3 linked regions of the Stegostoma tigrinum genome follow. The protein of the gene in region 1 purifies or fractionates together with the protein of each later gene. This does not show direct contact. Links are inferred from orthologs where the notes say so. Each region holds a gene or a part of one and is shown in the gene's direction. Other genes may lie near its edges. The genes, in order: shcbp1, racgap1 and kif23.

The links.
Region 2: the proteins of shcbp1 (region 1) and racgap1 purify together in Homo sapiens (affinity purification with mass spectrometry; 8 studies listed by BioGRID and IntAct, counting the BioPlex papers as one, with this or other methods). This does not show direct contact. The link is inferred for Stegostoma tigrinum from reciprocal best matches to the Homo sapiens genes SHCBP1 and RACGAP1.
Region 3: the proteins of shcbp1 (region 1) and kif23 purify together in Homo sapiens (affinity purification with western blotting; 9 studies listed by BioGRID and IntAct, with this or other methods). This does not show direct contact. The link is inferred for Stegostoma tigrinum from reciprocal best matches to the Homo sapiens genes SHCBP1 and KIF23.

The regions. Positions count from the first base shown.
Region 1 is NC_081369.1:30,843,562-30,850,534, forward strand, and holds the start of shcbp1 (SHC SH2 domain-binding protein 1), read left to right. Parts: upstream 1-3,890; 5' UTR 3,891-4,017; coding exon 4,018-4,072; intron 4,073-5,107; coding exon 5,108-5,251; intron 5,252-6,973. UniProt on the Homo sapiens protein: May play a role in signaling pathways governing cellular proliferation, cell growth and differentiation. May be a component of a novel signaling pathway downstream of Shc. Acts as a positive regulator of FGF signaling in neural progenitor cells.
Region 2 is NC_081404.1:14,134,114-14,141,608, reverse strand, and holds the start of racgap1 (rac GTPase-activating protein 1), read left to right. Parts: upstream 1-4,405; 5' UTR 4,406-4,416; coding exon 4,417-4,622; intron 4,623-6,569; coding exon 6,570-6,658; intron 6,659-7,495.
Region 3 is NC_081386.1:31,623,532-31,631,029, forward strand, and holds the start of kif23 (kinesin-like protein KIF23), read left to right. Parts: upstream 1-4,419; 5' UTR 4,420-4,517; coding exon 4,518-4,528; intron 4,529-7,498.

The DNA.
Region 1 (6,973 bases):
GCTTAAAGTAATTCATGAGAAGATTAGAGGAAGTTGAGGAGAAATCTTTTTGATCAGAGGATGATGGGTGTCTGGAACTAATTTTCAAGAAAGGGTGGTAGAGGCAGAAACTCTCGTTGTATTTAAAGAGTATGTGGATATGTACTCACAGTTGGTATCTGAGAGTAGCCTTGACAGTACTTTTTCTGGCACAAACATGATGGGCTGAATGATTTTCTTCTGTGCCATAAATTTCTATGATTCATTAGTTCAACAAATATAAAACTGCCTCCCAGAACTTTGGAAATACTATCCAAAGCATAATCTGATTTGCTTTTACCATCATGGATTCATCAGGAAACAATACATTGACCTGTTTTATGAGCTTTATTTTAGACACATTTCAGTTTGAAGGTCCAGCTGTTGTCTGAGCTGGAGGTTGGAATAATCCACCTATTTAAAATACAAAGACAGTAATAAGTTTAGCCCATGTATAAATGGTGGCTGCCCAGATTTACATTCCTAATTCTGTTAGTACTTCTCCAATCACTTCTTTTGAGACTACGATTGTTCCCCTTTGAGGCACTAACGCAGAGACATTTGATCCAATCATCATCTTCTCAACCAATAATGGTCTAAAGTATTTGAGATTTGTAGCTCGGGTTGTGGATGAGGTTGTAGACTTGCTCACCAAGTCTTGGTGTATTTGATTGCAGACATTTCGTCACCCTACTAGGTAACATCGTCAGTGCACCTCTGGTGAAGCATTGGTGTTCTGTCCTGCTTGTTATTCATAGGTTTGCTAAGATGGTTGGCATCACTTCTGGTTCTGTTTTTCAGTAGTTTATAAATTGGATCCAGTTCAATGTGTTTGTTGATGGTGTTCCAGTTGGAATGCCAAGCCTCCAGGAATTCTCCAGCATATCTCTGTTCGGCTTGTACTGTTATCAATGTGTTGTCCCAGTTGAATCTGTGTTCTTTGTCTGTGTGTATTGAGACCAGTGAGAATTGGTTGTGTCTGTTAGTAGCTAGTTGATGCTAGTGTATCCTTATTGTCAGTTTTCTTCCAGTGTGGCACATGTAGTGTTTCTCACAGTCGTTGCATGGTATTCTGTATATTACATCAGTTCTAATAGTTGTGGGTATGGGATCCTTTTCGTTCATCAGAAGCTGTCGCAGGGTGGTTATTGATTTGCTGGCTGCTCTGATATCTAGGGGTATGAGTAGTCTTGTGGTCATCACTGATATGCCCCTGATGCATGGTAGGGTGACTAGTGTGTTCGGTCGTGTTGTGTCTCCTTGTTGTAGTCTGCTGCGGAGATAATGGTGGATTGTGACTTGTATAAAGAAAGACCACACATACAGACCAGATACCTAATTACAACGACTCCAACACTCAAACGGAGTTGCATCAGGACATTATTCAAATAAGCCACAACACACTGTAGCAACCTGGAATTGCACAAATTGGAACAGGGCACTTATACGGAGTTTTTAAAAAGAATGGATATCCAAAAAGTACAACTCGCTATTACCTCCACGGATGATCACAACAAAAGGACACAACATGGCCAGACACACTTGTCACCCTAGTGTACATCAGGGACATGTCAGAGATGACCATAAGACTTCTCAGACCCCTAGGTATCAGGTAGCCCACAAACCAACAACCACCCTGCGACACCCCAGCAACGTAAAGGATCCCTTACCCGAAACCATTGAAACTAATATAATACAAAATACTCTCCAAGGACTAGAGAAACATTACATAGGCCAAACTGGAAGGAAACTGACAATAAGGATACATGAACACCAATGAGTCACCAAGAGACACGACCAATTCTCATTGGCCCGAATACACGTGGACAAAGAAGGACATGAATTCAACTGGGACAACACATCAATAGTAGCACATGATAAACAGAGACATGCCAGGAAATTCCTGGAGGCCTGGTATTCCAACCAGAACTCCAGCAACAAACACATTGAACTGAACCTGATATACAAACCACTGAAAAACAGAACCAGAAGTGAAGCCAAACAGCCCAGCAAACTGAGGCACATAAATAACAAGTGGGACGGAACACCAATGCTTCATCAGAGGTGCACTGATGATGTTACCTAGCAGGGTGACAAAACGTTTGCAATCAAACACGCTGGCTCGGCAAGCAAGTCTACAAACTCAATGTAGGTATATCCTTAGGATAAGTAATTTTCACTCAAAAATGTTAGTTTTTGTGAGCACAGAGATTAATGGATACATGTGTCATTTTCAAACTAACTTTTATATTTTGTAAATGGTTTGTGGCACTGGGAATGGAAGATTTGAGTTATAAAGATAGGCTAGGACATTTTTCACTGGAGCATTGGGGATTGAGGGGTGACCTTATTGAAGTTTATAAAATCATGAAGGGTGTAGAAAAAGTATGTAGAAAGTGTCTTTTCCCTACAATGGGGGAATTCAAAACCAGGGGTGTATTTTTCAGGAAAGAGGAGAAGGATTTAAAAAGAAAATGAGGGTGACATTTTTTACACAGAGTAGTTTGTGAAACGAACTGCCAGAGAAAGTGGTGGATGCAGGTAGAGTTACTAGTTAAAAGACATTTGGATAAGTACATAAATAGGAATGGTTTGGAGGGATGACAAGGTGTAGAACTGCATGAACATTGCAGGCCAAGCAGCATCAGAGGAACAGGAAAGCTGTTGTTTCGGGCCGAGAGGGATATGGGCCGAATGCAGGCAAGTGAGATCAGTTTAATTTGGGAAACTTGGTTGGCATGGACAAGTTGGACTGAAAGGCCTATTTCCAAGCTGTATGACACTACGACTCTACAACTTACCCATATATTGATAATTAGAAGTGTTTTTTAATATTGTGTATGTATATGGAATTTGCAAAATACGTGTCCTTCACCTTGTGTGATCATGGCATTGTTTTGCTCAAAGAAACTGTAAGTTGAAAAGGCAACATAAAACCTACTGAAACTGCAGAAGATATAAAATGAAGACTCCTTTTTTTTAAAAAAAAGTCTTTGGATATAGTTGACACTGTGGCAGAGTTTATTTTCCATTATTTTTTGTTCTTGAAATGTGGTGGTTTGCCTTATCTTTCAAGTCCTGTAATGTCTCCACTATGCTCTGAAATAAGAATTTCTAGGATATTGGCCCAGCCGCAATGAGAAATGGTGATATACAAAATCAGAAGGACATGTGACTCTGAGGTCAACTTAGAAATAATGGTGTTCAAACACAATTGTTCTCAGGACATTAAAAAAAACTGGAATGTGCCTTTTGATTCCTTTTGCCTGTTTTGCCATTCATAAAGATCCTGGCTGATTTTCATGTCTGATTGTAGTGTCCCACACTGACCCCATCTCTCTTAATTCCCCCAGTATTTAAAAGAAAATTCTTTATTTACTGAACGCTTGGTACTCAAATCTCTCGAATTCCTAAGATTCTTAACTCTGAGTGGAAAAATTCTCATCAATTGCTGCTACTTTATTCTGAGACTCCAAATCTCAGTTCCAGACTGAGACGTCAAAGCCAGAAAAATATCATCTCAGCATCAAACCCCTTTGAAATATTATATAATTTAATGAGTTCATATTGCATTCTTTTAAATTGGAGGGAGAAGAGTTAATCTATTCGATCTTACACTAGTAAGTGTCACTTACTTTGTTGTACTCCATGACTTTCTGTCACTTCTGACTGGATGCCTGGGCATGGGCTGTCACTCCTCCCGGCTTTTGGGATGCTGTCACTCCTCCTTGCCGTGGAGGCGCTGTCACACCTTCTGGCTTTGAGGTTGCGATCGCTTCTCCAGTTTGCAGCCTGCTGATACTCTTCCTGGCCGCACGGGACACTGTGTTGATACTCTCGGTCAGCTGCCGCTCTTGCCGCCAGCACAACCAATTAAGAAAAACAAGCGGCAGAATTTGAATTGGGAGCTCGTTGTAACTGTCAGAGGAGACTAGGCCTGCGGTTACTATCGGCATCGGCATCGGCCTCGGCCTCGGGGAGTTAGGCTCGATACACGGAATGGTCGAGGCAGCAATAGTGGTGGCGCTGGCGGATCCGACGGTACCCGGAGAAGGTGAGGGCGGGAGGAGTAGACCTCGACACCCCCGACCCGGGCTCTCTGCACCGGGAGGAGGGCACAGCTGCCCTATTCTCCGTCCCTTGGTGTTTTCTTGTTATATTTGTTCCTTGGGATATTGAAGTGAATGTATTTATTCCCATCCCTTGACATCCTAAAGAGTAAAATGTGTGCATTGACGGTGTAATGGTGTCTAGCAGGGTTGGGTCAGGGTTCAGGTTCCCCAGCCTGAAGGCTTCTATCAACAAATTAGACAGTTACAAACCCTGTAAGTTTCGTGCTCGTTATATGGTGCTAGCCTCTAAACTACCATATTTTAAAAATTCAAGTTCACAACTTGTCTGACAGGATTTGAACTGTCAATAGCTCAATGGCGCAGTTCTGTAGCTCAAGGAAACCATATTTTTTGCAATAATAACTGTAGGAATGTTACATATAATGCTTTACACTCTTTATAAACAATTGTGTATTTTGATGATTTTTTTCAAATATTGTTCTGTTCTTGAAAGCCCTCACCAGCTCAAACTTGTGAATTATGGTCTGCAGTATTTTGCTAGTTGATCTTGTAAGGTTCAATCAGCTATTCTTCAAAGTAACTCTTATGCACTAAGAAGGGTCTAGGCCTGAAACGTCAGCTTTTGTGCTCCTAAGATGCTGCTTGGCCTGCTGTGTTCATCCAGCTCCACACTTTGTTATCTCTTATGCACTACCTGATTTGTTGCAAATTCTGTAGCTAAATACCATGAGAACAACCATATCGTAATATTGTATTTAAAACTGAAACTAGCTAAACAGGGCTTCTATTTGAGATAATGGGAACTGCAAATGCTGGAGAATCCAAGACAACAAATTGTGGAGCTGGATGAAGACAGCTGGCCAAGCAGCATCTTAGGAACATATGCTTCTAAGATGGTGCTTGGCCTGCTGTGTTCATCCAGCTCCACACTTTGTTATCAGGGCTTCTGTTTGAATTGTGTAGGAATTGTGCTTGACAACAAATGTTATTCATTTTATATCTGACTGTATTTCAAGATCAAGTGGAAATTAAGGGCAGTCATGACAGCCCTGAAAAGGAGAATTTGTTGAATCCCGGAGCAACCAAATTTCCGGAAGTTATTGAGACAACTCACCTCACCTATTATGAGCGATACAGGGCCTACCAGGATTACATCTTGGGTTAGTTTTTTTTAAAAAATAATGTTTCTAAATATAATTATATATTGCTATAAGTAGAATAGAATGATAGTGATATTGTAACATAAATCCAGATCTTGAAAATGAGAAGTTTAGAAAATGCAGACGCTCAAAAATATTTAGCTTTGGTAATAGAATTAATACATGCACAGGGATACAAGCCAGGCTAGAGATGGCAGAATGATTTTCCACTGGCAGTTTAGTAACAGTACATAGAGGCTTCAAAGTGACATCTGATAAAAGGAAGTAACAAGCTAGTAGGAATTTGGCACAGGTTTCATCTTGCAGTCATTGCAAGAGCGAGCATGGTGTAACAGAGTGGTTGGAGCAGCAAGAGCAGTAGCATATAAAGCCAAGAAGAGGAAAAGGACCCAGAATTGTGGAGGCATTCCATCAGGCCCTTGGCACTAGAACAGAAAAATATGTTGGTGGGGAAAATGTCATTGTAAGCTGACTGACCACCTCCATTGCCCCCCTCTAAGGATTTGGAGCCCTTCTTGAAGAGGTGAAGTAGAGTGAGACGTTAAAGCAGAGGTGGCAGGGTGCCGTCATCAGGCCAATAAACAGAAAAGTGCAGAGGACCCCACACACACAGCCTTCTGTGTAAAGAAGAGGCTACAGCTTCAAAAAGGTCTACCATCTGTGGCTTAATTATGTTTGGATGTTGGAGAACCAGTGCCTCTGCAGATTGTGCCACTTCGGGGAGGCTGTTGCTGGTGTCGCAACCTGTATGGTAAGCTTGTGCCTGTCGGAATTGGAACTACCTGTCAGTGGTGCTGACGATCACAATGGCATTTAACTTCTGTGTTACCAGGTCATTCCAGTTATCAACAGGAGATTGGTGTAAGATCTTGCCGTCTAAACTGCATCAATGCATCAAGATGGTCACCAAAACACTTTTGAGACCACTGCTTCCACACCAGTCCAGACATTCAAGCTGATAGACTCATTGCTGGATACCTCCAGTTGCACAATTTGAGTGACTGTGTGCAGATGACCCTCAAGGTGCTCGCCGAGCAGCAAGCTGCCTTTTTAACATGAAGGCTTCCAGCGTCTTGATTGTAAAACTGTGATCACTATGAAAGGATCCTTTTGATGTGTGGATATTTCTTGGGAAGTAAGACCTACATGCTTCAGCAGCTCCAGGTGTCACAGCTTATCTGGTCCCTGCATGCCTTCAAGAATGGATACTGGGACATAGCTACTTACTCAGATGTGGAATCGCACATCTATTGCTGAGGGAAAGTACAACAAACTGTGGGGTAACTGGAGAGAACATCAAAAGGACTTCTAAAGAAGTAGTTCAGATGCCTTGATTGATTTGGTGGAGTCTTTCAGAATGCCACGTTACGTAAATCATTCAGTGTCCTGGCTCTTTGTCCACAGTACAAAAGCTGCTGTAGAAAGGGAGGAAGTGTTGAGCAATAAGGATCTCATGGATTGTAGTTCCTTCATTGCAAGGTATTCGACTCTGGGGACCACAGGCAATGTGAAGTAAGATGTGTTTGAGAAATTCAGTCCTCCTAATCTGATGGGTCTAAAGTTTTACCTTTCTTCAGCCCAGTTGCGGCCCATTTTCTGTTACTGCGCCCTAGTGCTCATTGTATATCAGCATTTAGTACATATGACATAGTCTGTCTCTTTAGAGGGAGAGAGAGAGGGGTTCACAGAAGTACCGAATGCAGTAAGAATTGAAAGATGTAG
Region 2 (7,495 bases), on another chromosome or scaffold:
TGTTCATCCAGCTCTACACTTTGTTATCTAGGATAGTGGGACTTGCCTTTGAGAAGAAATTGAGGAGACTGAACCTGCGTACTCGGGAGTTTAGAAGAATGAGGCAATCTCACAAATCTACAAAATTATTAAAAGAGATAGAAAGATTACATACAGAGACGCCGTTTCCCCTGGCTGTGGGGTCTAGAACCAGAGAAGGTTGTCTCAGAATAAAAAGCAAATCGTTTAGGAGCGAGATGATTTTTAATTACTAATGATATCATGGGAGGAGTATAATTCAAGTATCTGGCATTATTGTAGATGCTAAGCCATGAGTAGGCATCGGGGTCTGAGACGGCTTATTCGTGCTTTATCTTGCTATGATAAAGCATACCATGAGCGGAGTGTAGGTGAGAAAGCAAGCTATCCTTTACTTAGAAAAGACTCCTGCTCTTATATGGAAGCCCATCGCTAATGTCAAGAAAGCTAACAGGTTATAGTTCAACACCAGCATCTCCACATCAGGAAAGCTAACGACAGGAATATTATCCGAATATGAGTCAGACCAGCCAGAATGCAGTTGTGTCGAGAGATAATAAAGGCACGGGTGAAGGTTTTAGCTGCAGATGACCAACTTCGTTCCTGCCTCAGCCTAATGTTCCAGCTAATTATGGATATACAAAGGTTGCCAATCTAGATCCAAGTTGCATAAAGAAATGGTAGCCATGATACAACAGTAACAAATTATTGTCAAACCTTTCTCGACTGTCTGGTTAAAATCTTTAAGGTTTGTGCCCCTTTTCATTGGGTAGGTGAGATAAGACAAGTCGAACCAAGCCAGCAGGGTGACATGACTAGAACATTTCCAATCGGCCAATGAGGGAATCGACTTCTTTGCAAGGAGACGGGAGCGATCCCACCCCCGCCCTCAATACCTTCGAGATGATGGGAACTGCAGATGCTGGAGATTCCAAGATAATAAAATGTGAGGCTGGACGAACACAGCAGGCCAAGCAGCGTCTCAGGAGCACAAAAGCTGACGTTTCGGGCCTAGACCCTTCATCAGAGAGGGGGATGGGGGGAGGGAACTGGAATAAATAGGGAGAGAGGGGGAGGCGGACCGAAGATGGAGAGTAAAGAAGATAGGTGGAGAGAGTGTAGGTGGGGAGGTAGGGAGGGGATAGGTCAGTCCAGGGAAGACGGACAGGTCAAGGAGGTGGGATGAGGTTAGTAGGTAGCGGGGGGTGCGGCTTGGGGTGGGAGGAAGGGATGGGTGAGAGGAAGAACCGGTTAGGGAGGCAGAGACAGGTTGGACTGGTTTTGGGATGCAATGGGTGGGGGGGAAGAGCTGGGCTGGTTGTGTGGTGCAGTGGGGGGAGGGGACGAACTGGGCTGGTTGAGGGATGCAGTCGGGGAAGGGGAGATTTTGAAGCTGGTGAAGTCCACATTGATACCATATGGCTGCAGGGTTCCCAGGCGGAATATGAGTTGCTGTTCCTGCAACCTTCGGGTGGCATCATTGTGGCAGTGCAGGAGGCCCATGATGGACATGTCATCAAGAGAATGGGAGGGGGAGTGGAAATGGTTTGCGACTGGGAGGTGCAGTTGTTTTTTGCGAACTGAGCGGAGGTGTTCTGCAAAGCGGTCCCCAAGCCTCCGCTTGGTTTCCCCAATGTAGAGGAAGCCGCACCGGGTACAGTGGATGCAGTATACCACATTGGCAGATGTGCAGGTGAACCTCTGCTTGATGTGGAATGTCATCTTGGGGCCTGGGATGGGGGTGAGGGAGGAGGTGTGGGGACAAGTGTGGCATTTCCTGCGGTTGCAGGGGAAGGTGCCGGGTGTGGTGGGGTTGGAGGGCAGTGTGGAGCGAACAAGGGAGTCACGGAGAGAGTGGTCTCTCCGGAAAGCAGACAGGGGAGGGGATGGAAAAATGTCTTGGGTGGTGGGGTCGGATTGTAAATGGCGGAAGTGTCGGAGGATAATGCGTTGTATCCAGAGGTTGGTAGGGTGGTGTGTGAGAACGAGGGGGATCCTCTTGAGGCGGTTGTGGCGGGGGCGGGGTGTGAGGGATGTGTCGCGGGAAATGTGGGAGACGCGGTCAAGGGCGTTCTCGATCACCGTGGGGGGAAAGTTGCGGTCCTTAAAGAACTTGGACATCTGGGATGTGCGGGAGTGGAATGTCTTGTCGTGGGAGCAGATGCGGCGGAGGCGGAGGAATTGGGAATAGGGGATGGAATTTTTGCAGGAGGGTGGGTGGGAGGAGGTGTATTCTAGGTAGCTGTGGGAGTCGGTGGGCTTGAAATGGACATCAGTTACAAGCTGGTTGCCTGAGATGGAGACTGAGAGGTCCAGGAAGGTGAGGGATGTGCTGGAGATGGCCCAGGTGAACTGAAGGTTGGGTTGGAAGGTGTTGGTGAAGTGGATGAACTGTTCGAGCTCCTCTGGGGAGCAAGAGGCGGCGCCGATACAGTCATCAATCCTCCACCGACACTCTCATCCGCCTAGCTGAACTCGTCCTCACACTCAACAACTTCTCTTTTGACTCCTCCCACTTCCTACAGACTAAGGGGGTGGCCATGGGCACCCGCATGGGCCCCAGCTATGCCTGCCTCTTTGTAGGTTACGTGGAACAGTCCCTCTTCCGCACCTACACAGGCCCCAAACCCCACCTCTTCCTCCGGTACATTGATGACTGTAACGGCGCCGCCTCTTGCTCCCCAGAGGAGCTCGAACAGTTCATCCACTTCACCAACACCTTCCAACCCAACCTTCAGCTCACCTGGGCCATCTCCAGCACATCCCTCACCTTCCTGGACCTCTCAGTCTCCAACTCAGGCAACCAGCTTGTAACTGATGTCCATTTCAAGCCCACCGACTCACACAGCTACCTAGAATACACCTCCTCCCACCCACCCTCCTGCAAAAATTCCATCCCCTATTCCCAATTCCTCCGCCTCCGCCGCATCTGCTCCCACGACAAGACATTCCACTCCCGCACATCCCAGATGTCCAAGTTCTTTAAGGACCGCAACTTTCCCCCCACGGTGATCGAGAACGCCCTTGACCGCGTCTCCCACATTTCCCGCGACACATCCCTCACACCCCGCCCCCGCCACAACCGCCCCAAGAGGATCCCCCTCGTTCTCACACACCACCCTACCAACCTCCGGATACAACGCATTATCCTCCGACACTTCTGCCATTTACAATCCGACCCCACCACCCAAGACAATTTTCCATCCCCTCCCCTGTCTGCTTTCCGGAGAGACCACTCTCTCCGTGACTCCCTTGTTCGCTCCACACTGCCCTCCAACCCCACCACACCCGGCACCTTCCCCTGCAACCGCAGGAAATGCCACACTTGTCCCCACACCTCCTCCCTCACCCCTATCCCAGGCACCAAGATGACATTCCACATCAAGCAGAGGTTCACCTGCACATCTGCCAATGTGGTATACTGCATCCACTGTACCCGGTGCGGCTTCCTCTACATTGGGGAAACCAAGCGGAGGCTTGGGGACTGCTTTGCAGAACACCTCCGCTCAGTTCGCAACAAACAACTGCACCTCCCAGTCGCAAACCATTTCCACTCCCCCTCCCATTCTCTAGATGACATGTCCATCATGGGCCTCCTGCAGTGCCACAATGATGCCACCCGAAGGTTGCAGGAACAGCAACTCATATTCCGCCTGGGAACCCTGCAGCCATATGGTATCAATGTGGACTTCACCAGCTTCAAAATCTCCCCTTCCCCCACCGCATCCCTAAATCAGCCCAGTTCGTCCCCTCCCCCCACTTCACCACACAACCAGCCCAGCTCTTCCCCCCCACCCACTGCATCCCAAAACCAGTCCAACCTGTCTCTGCCTCCCTAACCTGTTCTTCCTCTCACCCATCCCTTCCTCCCACCCCAAGCCGCACCCCCAGCTACCTACTAACCTCATCCCACCTCCTTGACCTGTCCGTCTTCCCTGGACTGACCTATCCCCTCCCTACCTCCCCACCTACACTCTCTCCACCTATCTTCTTTACTCTCCATCTTCGGTCCGCCTCCCCCTCTCTCCCTATTTATTCCAGTTCCCTCCCCCCATCCCCCTCTCTGATGAAGGGTCTAGGCCCGAAACGTCAGCTTTTGTGCTCCTGAGATGCTGCTTGGCCTGCTGTGTTCATCCAGCCTCACATTTTATTATCTCAATACCTTCGATGCGTGATTGCGTCATTGGGGCGTACGTGGCACGTCAGGAGACCGTATCCTGATTGGCGGTTGAAGCAAATTTGAAATCAGGCCGCGAAAACGTCTGGAGTAACGGAGCCGGAACCAGGTGGAGAGCGGCGGACAAAGCGGTAAGGGCTCCTGGGGGAAAATGGGTCGGGAATCTAGAGATTGTTTTTGCTCTCCCCTCTTGAGATCGGTGCCGTTCCCCCGATAGCGGGATGTTGTTGATTTTAAGTTGGGTGGGCGATGGTAGTCGGGCTCCTGGGCCCCGTGGAAAAGCGGGAAGTGTCGTTCGTCTCCTTCCAGGATCTCCGCGATCAGAGAAAAGGCGAGCCCTTTGTGGTGATCGAGATATGTGCTGGGCCCTCGAGTGTATTAAAAATGTCTGTATAGCACTAGGCCATTGGCTACTTGATAAAGCCAGGTATTTCTCTCGCCTTCCCCATCTGTAGAATGTCCTAAAGTGCTTCACAGTAAAGAATGAACGTTTTCAACCGTAATTACTGCTGTAGTATAGGAAACACTGCGGCTAAATTGCACACAGCAATCTCCCGCAAACAGAAATGTGGAAATGAACCCAGATAATTGTCTTTTGTTATGTTAGTTTGAGGTACAAATATTTGCCAGGACACCAGAGGACTTCCCAGTTCGGTCACAGAGTGCCTCAGGATCGTCATGCAACCAAGCTAATAAGAACTGCAGATGCTGGAGAATCTGAGATAACAAGGTGTAGAGCTGGATGAACACAGCAGGCCAAACAGCATCAGAGGAACAGGAAAACTGACGTTTTGAGCCTCGATCCTTCATCAGAAATGGGTCTAGGCCTGAAATGTCAGCTTTCCTGCTCCTAAGATGCTGCTTGACCTGCTGTGTTCATCCAGCTCTACACATTATTATGTTGCATCCACACCAGTTTAATGTCTCATCCAAAAGACAGCACTTCTCTGACAGTGCAGCACTGCATTGGGAGTACCAGTTTAGATCTTGGTATTCAATTCTCTGATGTGGGAATTGAAACCAAGAGTGCTACTAATTGTTTTGTTAATTGCAGTAATATAGCTGTCAACCTTGTGTGTTGATGGATCTGCAGGCAAGAAATGCTGACTGGGTTGAGAAATGGAAAGACTTTCTTTCCACCCAGAGAAAGTGTAATGTGTTAACTTTAATGTTATGTGGTTCACTCTTGTAGCTTCAATGAAGTAATTTCAATTCATAGCACTGATTTTTAACCCCCTCACTGCAATCCTGATGCTGTACATTTCTGGTCTTGCATAGAGTGCTCTGTGTACTTGAATGGGATGTAGTTAGATATCAGCATTTATTGCTTCAGCAATAGCTTTTTATAAAGTTTTTGTTCAATTTGAGTTGGAGAGGCGCAAGATTCAAAAACAGAAATTTTAGTACTTTGAAGTGAATGGTTTCCCCATCTGTTAATGCTATAAGTTGCAACACATTGTGTCGTTAGAACTTGGATTTTAAACACTTAATAGGTCTGCAATACTTAATGTGACTGCCTCATCAAATTTGAGGGTTGTTTAAGCAATCTCTTGCGAATGCAGTTATTTTTGGAACAAATATTATTGTCAAAAATCTCTGTGGAATGACTTCGAAATCAAGGAGCTGCTGCTGCAGCACTGTTTTTATATTGCTGGAGGCCTTTTGGCTGCGATATGTCACTGAGATTCTTCAGTTTGTTTTAGTTGCTTCATTTAAATTCCATGGAAATTTTAGTCCTTAAACTGTTATCAGTTATAATTGGACATGATTTAGTTTAATAAAGTATTGTTTTTGTCACTATTTGCATCAAGCTGTCTTTAACACTGACTGGTAAAATCATGACATGCTCAGAATTTCCACGAAGTAAATATTAATAGTAAATTTTGTGCTGTTGAGTGATTGTTGGCATTGTGCTACTGTGTTTCTTTAAAAACCCTTCAGCTCTTGTCTTTTGCTGTGAATTAATACTGAGCTGGGATTTTTGAAATTGAGCTGGTGACGAGCCTGATCTCCATCTTTGGGCTGATGGCCATTTTATGATTTTTGTTTTAAAGCATCATCGGTAGGTTTATTCCTGCAAACATGCACACGATACCTTTTTTGTGACTTTGAGCCAACTGTTCATTCCTAGCAGATATCGGTGTGGGCAGAACATTGACCCTCACCTGAAGTAACTGTAGGACTAAAATTGAGTTGGTTGAAAATTACATTTTGGAGTAATTTGAATCTTCTCCTGGTTTTTCTCCCCATACAAGTCCAGTGTGTGAATATTGCAAGACAATATTGCACCAAGAATCTTGGTTTAAAACAGAGATGTGTGGAAGCTGTCACTTGTAGTTCCCTTGCTTTTCTTATGCATTAATCTCTTTTATAGGAAAATGGAATCTGCCATGGTCACTCTACGCAACATGTTCGAGCAGTTGCTCAGACAGATGGAAGTACTGAATGAAGGAATTGAACCTCGTAAGCATTTTTAGCTTTGCTAATGTTGGGGTATGGCCATGATCAGTGATGTTATTCATCTAGATTTCTGTGAGATACTTTGAATTTTAGTTTTCAGTATATTTGTATAAAACTGGGAGATAGGATACCAAAGCTGGCTTGGTGAGCTGTAAAACTGCATCATGAAGCTTTGCAGATCAACCAAAATATTTGGACTACCAAAGTAATTCATTAATTTTCAAGCACAAAGATTCAATTGTTTGTATTTCTGCCAGTACAATATGCTGACTCTTTTTGACTTTACCCAATGGGACTAAGAGAACCACTGACTTTGTATTAAATTATATTAAATATTAATAATTTGTCTGCCTGTGATTCCACTGTGCTTTGTATATTGATTCAATAGTTAATGTATGTGCATTTTCACTCACTGTTGAGCTTTTGTGTTGAATCTATTATCTTCTCTATACCTCCCATCACCACCCCCCCCCCCACATCATGTATATGTTCTGCCTCAAGCTGATCTCTCATTTTTCAATGTGTCAGTTTTGTAAGCATTTCAATCTCATTCCGCTTTGTCTCAGTATCAATTATAATCCACACTGCTCAAGTTTCTCCCCCTCAAATTTCTTGAGTCCTGGTGGTTTGAGTGGATCTGTTCACTATGTGCTACTTTGTGTCTAACCATTAATACCGGTGAACAAGTCTGACATGAAGAATAGCCCTTTTTAAAGCAGCTAGACCTGGGAAACTTGAAGAGAGAGCAGCAGAATTTGAAGTATAAACTCAATTTGGAAATTAGTCACTCTGGGTGTCACCCAAGCTAAAAGGGCCAGGGAATTGACCACACATAGATCT
Region 3 (7,498 bases), on another chromosome or scaffold:
CTCGGCACAGCTTCTTTAGTTACAAGATTTTAGACAATACAGAAGTAAAACATCCAGCATTACAGAAAAGAGTTCAGTACAGCAGACCACGCTGACACTTTGCTTCCAGTCCACAAGGGGCCCTGGCTCCAACCTGCAGCAGTGACACGCCATGCCAAGAGGCCACTGTCCCAGAATTGCAACGTCACCACACCATACTGGGAGGCCCCTACAAGAGGAGGCCAATGCAGGAGGCTGGAAGTTCCCCACACCATGGAATGATGTTTCTATGGGAAGAAGCCACTGTGCCAGGCTGGGAGATTGCCATGCCATGCCTGGAGGCTGCTGTGGCAGGCCATTGTGCCAGGCCAGGAGTTGTTGCTTAAGGCCTGGAATCATCACCGGACACTGGTAATCATTACTGGAGGCTGGGAATTGCCGCTTGAGACTGGGAACCAACACTAGAGGCTGGGAATCATCACCAGAGGGGAATCGCTGCAGGGGGCTGGGAATCACCGCCAGAGGCTGGGGATCTTTCCTAATAACATGTTTCCTATAGCAGGGAGATCAGAATTGAATGCAGTTTTCCAAAATCTGGGAGTTGTCAGGCATCACTGGCTCTTGTACTTTGAACTCTGGCCATACATTTGGTCAAGCATTGGCAGTCTGGAATTGTCCTTCACTGTCAAACGGCACAATGACAAATTCTCACAGCATAGATTCAGCATGGCAGACACTGTATTGCACACTGCCACCCCAATCACTTGTTAAGGACCAACTACACACCTCATGGTCCATATCCACTTCCCATCTCACAACCTTCTGTAAATCACTGCTACTCCACCACAATTCCCATTGGAGCCCAGCATCTTATCATTGATCACTTTGAGGCTGGCACAGACAGATAAGCCTTCAAACATAATTTATGAATAACTTTTATACTTAAATCAAAAGTGCTCAGAATTGAAACAAGCACAGGCTTCATTTCCCTACTCACTACACAAACAAGCCACTGGCACCTTGAGCACCAAGTATATTATAGTCAGGGAGTGATCATTACACCCAGCTCACTCCTGCTGGGCCAGGTGTCAATCACGTTCTACCTGGCTTTGTGGCACCCATTGTGGCAGGGCTCGGCTTTGCGCAAGGCGATGTTCCATAAGTAGACAAAAAAATTGCTGGAAGAGCTCAGCAGGTCTGGCAGCACCTTCTGACAGAAATCAGAGTTAATGCTTTGGTTCCAGTGCCCCTTCCTCAGAACACATATTCCATATCAAATATTCCATAAGATGGAGCAGAAATAGGCCATTCAGCCCATTGAGTCTGCTCCTCCTTTGAATGAGATCATGGCTGACATGACAATCCTTGGCTCCACTTTCCTACCTTTACCCCGTAACCCTTGATTTCTTCACTGAATAAAAATCTATCTCAGCCTTGAATATAGTGAATGATGTAGCCTTGAAAGGCTTACTTCTGCTCCCAAACATGTCTCCTTCTACCCAGAGCAGTGGCTCATCAGCAATTTGCAAAGGTTATAACAGTGAAAGTAAACGGTGGGTTCCCAATTGATACCCAGAACCTTCAAACCGATTTTAAGGATAACGCAGCTCCTGAACCTATTCTCCCTTCACAAAGAGTCTCCAAATCTGGATGCCAGTCAGGGGCTGTGTCAAGTTGCCTCCAAAATGTCCACACTGGCTCCAACTCTCCCTGGGGACAGAAGGTCATGGCTTTAAAGCACATGGCAGAGACTCGAACAAATTATTCAGGCTGACACTTCCAGTGCAATGCTGAGCGAGAGCTACACATCAGAGATGCAGGATTTTGGATGAAACATTGAGCTGAGATCCTCAGAAGGGCATCAGATAAAAGATCCCATGGGCATGTTTTGAGGAGTAGTAGTGAGTTTTCCCTGGTCTCCTGGCCAATACCCAGCTCTCACATCAACATCACCGAAAGAACATTATCTCATCATTATTGCATTGCTGTCTGAGGAATCTTGTTGTGTGCAAAATGGTTGTCATGTTTCTTAAATTAGGTCAGTAATAAAAGTTTTAAAAATCCTCCCTTATATAACACTTTTTGAATGTCAAAGTCATGAAAGATATTGCTTAAATACCAGAATTTAAGAAAGCCTGGCTACGGCTGTTATATAGCAGGGTAGTGTTTTGTAGGATAGTCCAGTTAAGAATAAGGGGTCACACATTTAAGTCAGAGATAAGGAGGGATATCTTTTCTGAGACAGTAGAGAATCTGTGGAATTGTTTACCATAGAGGATTGTCAAGGTATATAAATAATTATATTAAAGGCTGAGATAGACAAATGTTTAATCAGTAAGGGTGTGGTGAAAAAGCAAGAAAGTAGAGTTGAGAATCATCAGATCAGCTATAATCTCATTGAATGATGAGCAGACTTGATAGGCTAAATGGCCTATTTCTGCTCCTGTATTTTACGTTCTATTTAAAAATCCCCATTACGTGAATTACGCTGCTATACCAGCAGCATCTGTTTGAGGGCACGTGTGAGCAGAGACTGTAAGCAGTTGATCATGTCACAATGACTTGAATGGTCCTTAATACCAATTGAGTGCAATCTGGAACGTCATTCCCTTGAAAGCGACAGGCCAAACAAACCTCAGGCAAATCAAAGCATATAGAAACATACATGTAGCTCTAAGGTTTTAGAGTAGATCTGTAGCTCAGGTTGTGTGTGTTGAGGTTGGTTGGCTCGCCGAGCTGGTTTGATGTTTCGCAGATGTTTCGTTACAGTGCTTGGTAACATCCTCAGTGCAGCCTCCGATGAAGCATCGGTGTGTTTTCCTGCCTGGTTTTTAAACTCTGGGGTCCGGTAAGATGGATTGCCTCACTTCCAGTTTTCCTTCATAGTGGAATGTATACGGGGTCGAGTTCAATGTGTTTATTAAGAGTCTGCTTCGTGGAGTGCCATGCTTCCAGGAATCCTCGTGCTTGTCTCTGCCTAGCCTGTCCCAGGATCTTGGTGTTGTCCCAGTCAAAGTCGTGGTTCTCCTTGTCCATGTGGATTAAGGTGAGTGATTATTGGTTGTGTCTTTTTGTAGCCAGTTGGTGTTCATGTATTCTTGCTGTTAGTTTCCTTCCTGTTTGTTTGATGTAGTGTTTCTCGTAGTCTCTGCAGGGGATCTTGCAGATGAAATTGGTCCTGTCCATGGCGGGGAGTGGATCTTTAGTTTGGATGAGCACTTGTCACAGGGTTAATGTAGGTTTGTGTGCCACTCTGATGCCCAGTGGTCGTAGAAGTCTTGTGGTGAGTTCTGATGTATTCCTCATGTAGGGGTAGTGTGATGAGTGTGTCGGGGCATGTAGAATCTTTCTGATGCTGTTCCTATAGGCATCTCCTGACCCAGTTCTTTGAATATCTATTATCCTTGAACACTTGGAAGAGGTATTCCTCCTCCTCCTGGCGTAGTGAAGCACTTACTTGCTTTTTCACCATACCCTATGACTGTATTAGTCCTGCCCTGATCTGCCTTTCCAAAATGTAGCACCTCACATTTATCTAAATTAAAGTTCATTTGCCAGTCCTCAGCCCATTGGCCCATCTGATCAAGGTCCCACTGTACTCTGAGGTAACCTCCTTCGCTGTGCACTACAGCTTCAATCTCATTAACCATACCTCCTATGTTCACATTCGAATCATTTATAGAAATGACAAAAAGCAGTGGACCCAGTACATTGGACCTCTCTGATGAAGGGTCTAGGCCCGAAACGTCAGCTTCTGTGCTCCTGAGATGCTGCTGGGCCTGCTGTGTTCATCCAGCCTCACATTTTATTATCTTGGATTCTCCAGTTCCCATTATCCCAGCACATTGCTGGTCACAAGCCTCCAGTCTATAGTTTTCTCATAACTATAGTTTCGTGATCCGAGCAACAATGGAGAAATCAAACAAGCTCTAGGTTAATGATAAACCTTGACACTAGTGACATTGACAGCTAGGAATACGCACGCGCCAGCTTTCCGCTGTGGCAATACGCATGCGCCAGCTTCCCCTCGCAAAAGCGGTGCGCATGCTTCAACTGTCCCCAGATAACAAAGTGTGCAGCTGGATGAACACAGCAGGCCCAGCAGCATCTCAGGAGCACAAAAGCTGTCGTTTCGGGCCCAGACCCTTCATCCCCAACTTCAACTGTCCCCACTCGGCTGCGGTGCGCATTCGCTCGCTCCCTCGGCTTGCAAGCCGTGGCGGCGCGCATGCGCAAATTCCGCCATGCCGATGAAGTCCGCTGAGTTCCCCTCGCAGCGATGCGCATGGGCTTGGCTGGCCCCTCCCCTTGGGCAGACCATGTACGGGAAGGGAACAAGTGCGCGTGCGCACCGGACCCGCGGCCTGATTGACAGGAGGATGGAGCCTGTCCAATGGGAGGTGGGGAGAGCCCGGGCCAATGGGAAAGGCGCGGGATTTGAATTGACGGCGGTTGGTGTCGGCGCGGAGGCAGAGCTGTAGCTGGAGCGGCTGCGGGAGGAGTATTGCCCCGCTGTCTGTTATAATTAAAAACTAACGATGAAAACAACGTGAGTATAGATTGTCAGGTTAAACTCCTCTCGATCGATTGATTTTAGATCACGCACTTCTAACCAGCTCTCGCGTTCTTCAACTTTATTCTTCTTTTGTCAGTCTCCATGAATGGCTCCTTTAAAGTTTGAAACTATTTTATTTCGCCCCCGGGGTGACCACTTCCAAGCAAAAAAAAATCATGAAAAATGTGACTTTTAATTGATTTTTGTTTTCAAATTGTACCATCTTAACCTCGTTCTTACTGTTGATGTGTAATGTTTCAATTTTTATTCTACTGATTTTTAAAAATATTTTTACCTACTCGGTAAATATTTTTAAAATTCTACTTGTTTTAAAGGATTGCTTTTATTTGTGACTATGGTCACAATTGGGATCTCTGAGCTGCAACAACAGCCTGCATTTATATTAGCAGCTTCTTAATGTGTTCATCTGTCCCGAGGTTCGTCAGTGTGTGTCATCCTGGTGTCCTCTGTTTTGAATCGTAGCTGAGTGTTTCACTTCCACACACACCCTGCTGACAAAAAAAAACCCTGCAGGTTCCTTTTGTTTTAAAAGCATGGAAAATCTGGACTAGTTCTGATATAGTAACTTGCATTTGTGCCGTATTTTGCATGTAGTGTCATTCCAAGATGATTCACAGAAATGTTAACTGGACAAAACTGTGCTTTAACAACCTCCAAGGAATTGAGTTTGGATGTCCACTTGATCACAGGTAGCTTTAAGCAAAGAATGTTTTAATGTGGGGAGAGAATGAGGTTAAGGCAGGGATTTCCAAGCCTTAGATTATAAAATTCAAAGTATGAAATAATGGGTCTAAAAGCAACTGGAATATTTTTCATTCTGGGTGCCTTGTTTTAGGTAAGATGTTAGGCTTACATGAAAAGTACCAGGGAAAGCACAGTTTGAAATGTTTTGAAAGATTAAATAATGAGAAACTTTTCCTGGCCCACCTAAGGTAGCTGGCATGATAACTAGAGGTGAAATGAGACAGTCTATGTTTTCATCAGATTTTAAGACAGTAGGTCTAAATGTTAAATTGAGCTCCACGCAATCAATGGTCTTGCAAAGAATGCTAGAGTCCTGTGATAGGTCAGACTTATTGATGTGTTACCTTATTTCTAGTAAATTGGCTTTTGTTGGCAGCACTGTATGCCTAAGAGGAGTTGATCTATTCTTGTGCAAAAAAAGGGCACCTCTAGCAGCCCACCGACTCCCACAGCTACCTAGAATACACCTCCTCCCACCCACCCTCCTGCAAAAATTCCATCCCCTATTCCCAATTCCTCCGCCTCCGCCGCATCTGCTCCCACGATAAGACATTCCACTCCCGCACATCCCAGATGTCCAAGTTCTTTAAGGACCGCAACTTTCCCCCCACAGTGATCGAGAACGCCCTTGACCGCGTCTCCCGTATTTCCCGCAAAACATCCCTCACACCCTGCCCCCGCCACAACCGCCCAAAGAGAATCCCCCTCGTTCTCACACACCACCCTACCAACCTCTGGATACAACGCATCATCCTCCGACACTTCCGCCATTTACAATCCGACCCCACCACCCAAGACATTTTTCCATCCCCACCCCGGTCTGCTTTCCGGAGAGACCACTCTCTCCGTGACTCCCTTGTTCGCTCCACACTGCCCTCCAACCCCACCACACCCGGCACCTTCCCCTGCAACCGCAGGAAATGCTACACTTGCCCCCACGCCTCCTCCCTCACCCCTATCCCAGGCCCCAAGATGACATTCCACATTAAGCAGAGGTTCACCTGCACATCTGCCAATGTGGTATACTGCATCCACTGTACCCGGTGCGGCATCCTCTACATTGGGGAAACCAAGCGGAGGCTTGGGGACCGCTTTGCAGAACACCTCCGCTCAGTTCGCAACAAACAACTGCACCTCCAGTCGCAAACCATTTCCACTCCCCCCTCCCATTCTCTAGATGACATGTCCATCATGGGCCTCCTGCAGTGCCACAATGATGCCACCCGAAGGTTGCATGAACAGCAACTCATATTCCGCCTGGGAACCCTGCAGCCTAATGGTATCAATGTGGACTTCACCAGTTTCAAAATCTCCCCTTCCCCTACTGCATCCCTAAACCAGCCCAGTTCGTCCCCTCCCCCCACTGCACCACACAACCAGCCCATCTCTCTCTCTCCCTCTCTCCTGCCCCGCCCCGCATCCCAAAACCAGTCCAACCTGTCTCTGCCTCCCTAACCGGTTCTTCCTCTCACCCATCCCTTCCTCCCACCCCAAGCCGCACCCCCATCTACCTACTAACCTCATCCCACCTCCTTGACCTGTCCGTCTTCCCTGGACTGACCTATCCCCTCCCTACCTCCCCACCTATACTCTCTCCACCTATCTTCTTTACTCTCCATCTTCGGTCCGCCTCCCCCTCTCCCCCTATTTATTCCAGTTCCCTCACCCCATCCCCCTCTCTGATGAAGGGTCTAGGCCCGAAACGTCAGCTTTTGTGCTCCTGAGATGCTGCTTGGCCTGCTGTGTTCATCCAGCCTCACATTTTATTATCTTGGAATTCTCCAGCATCTGCAGTTCCCATTATCTCTCACCTCTAGCAGTGAGAGCTGCACCAGAGTATCAGGCAGGATTTTTATACTCAAGTCCTGGAAGTAGGATTGTGAACCTGGAGCCTTATGATTCAGAAGTGAATGCTTCTAATTAAGCCAGAAATAACAACAAAAGTTGACACTGCCTCTTTGAACTGTGCCTCTAATTGTTTTGCAACTTAATGTTGTGTTCCAAATATCCTCTTTACTAAATGATGCTGTTGCTGCACTCCACTGACTTCTGTGGCAGTACTATGATATTAGCGTTAAGGCTGGCCTGGGATTCATTCAATAGTGTTGCTTTGTCACTGGAGCCCTGAGAACAATGATCTCGCTCTTTTGCTCTGGAGAAAGAGCTTTTCGTGCTCTGAGGTATTTCCCACTCTTGTGC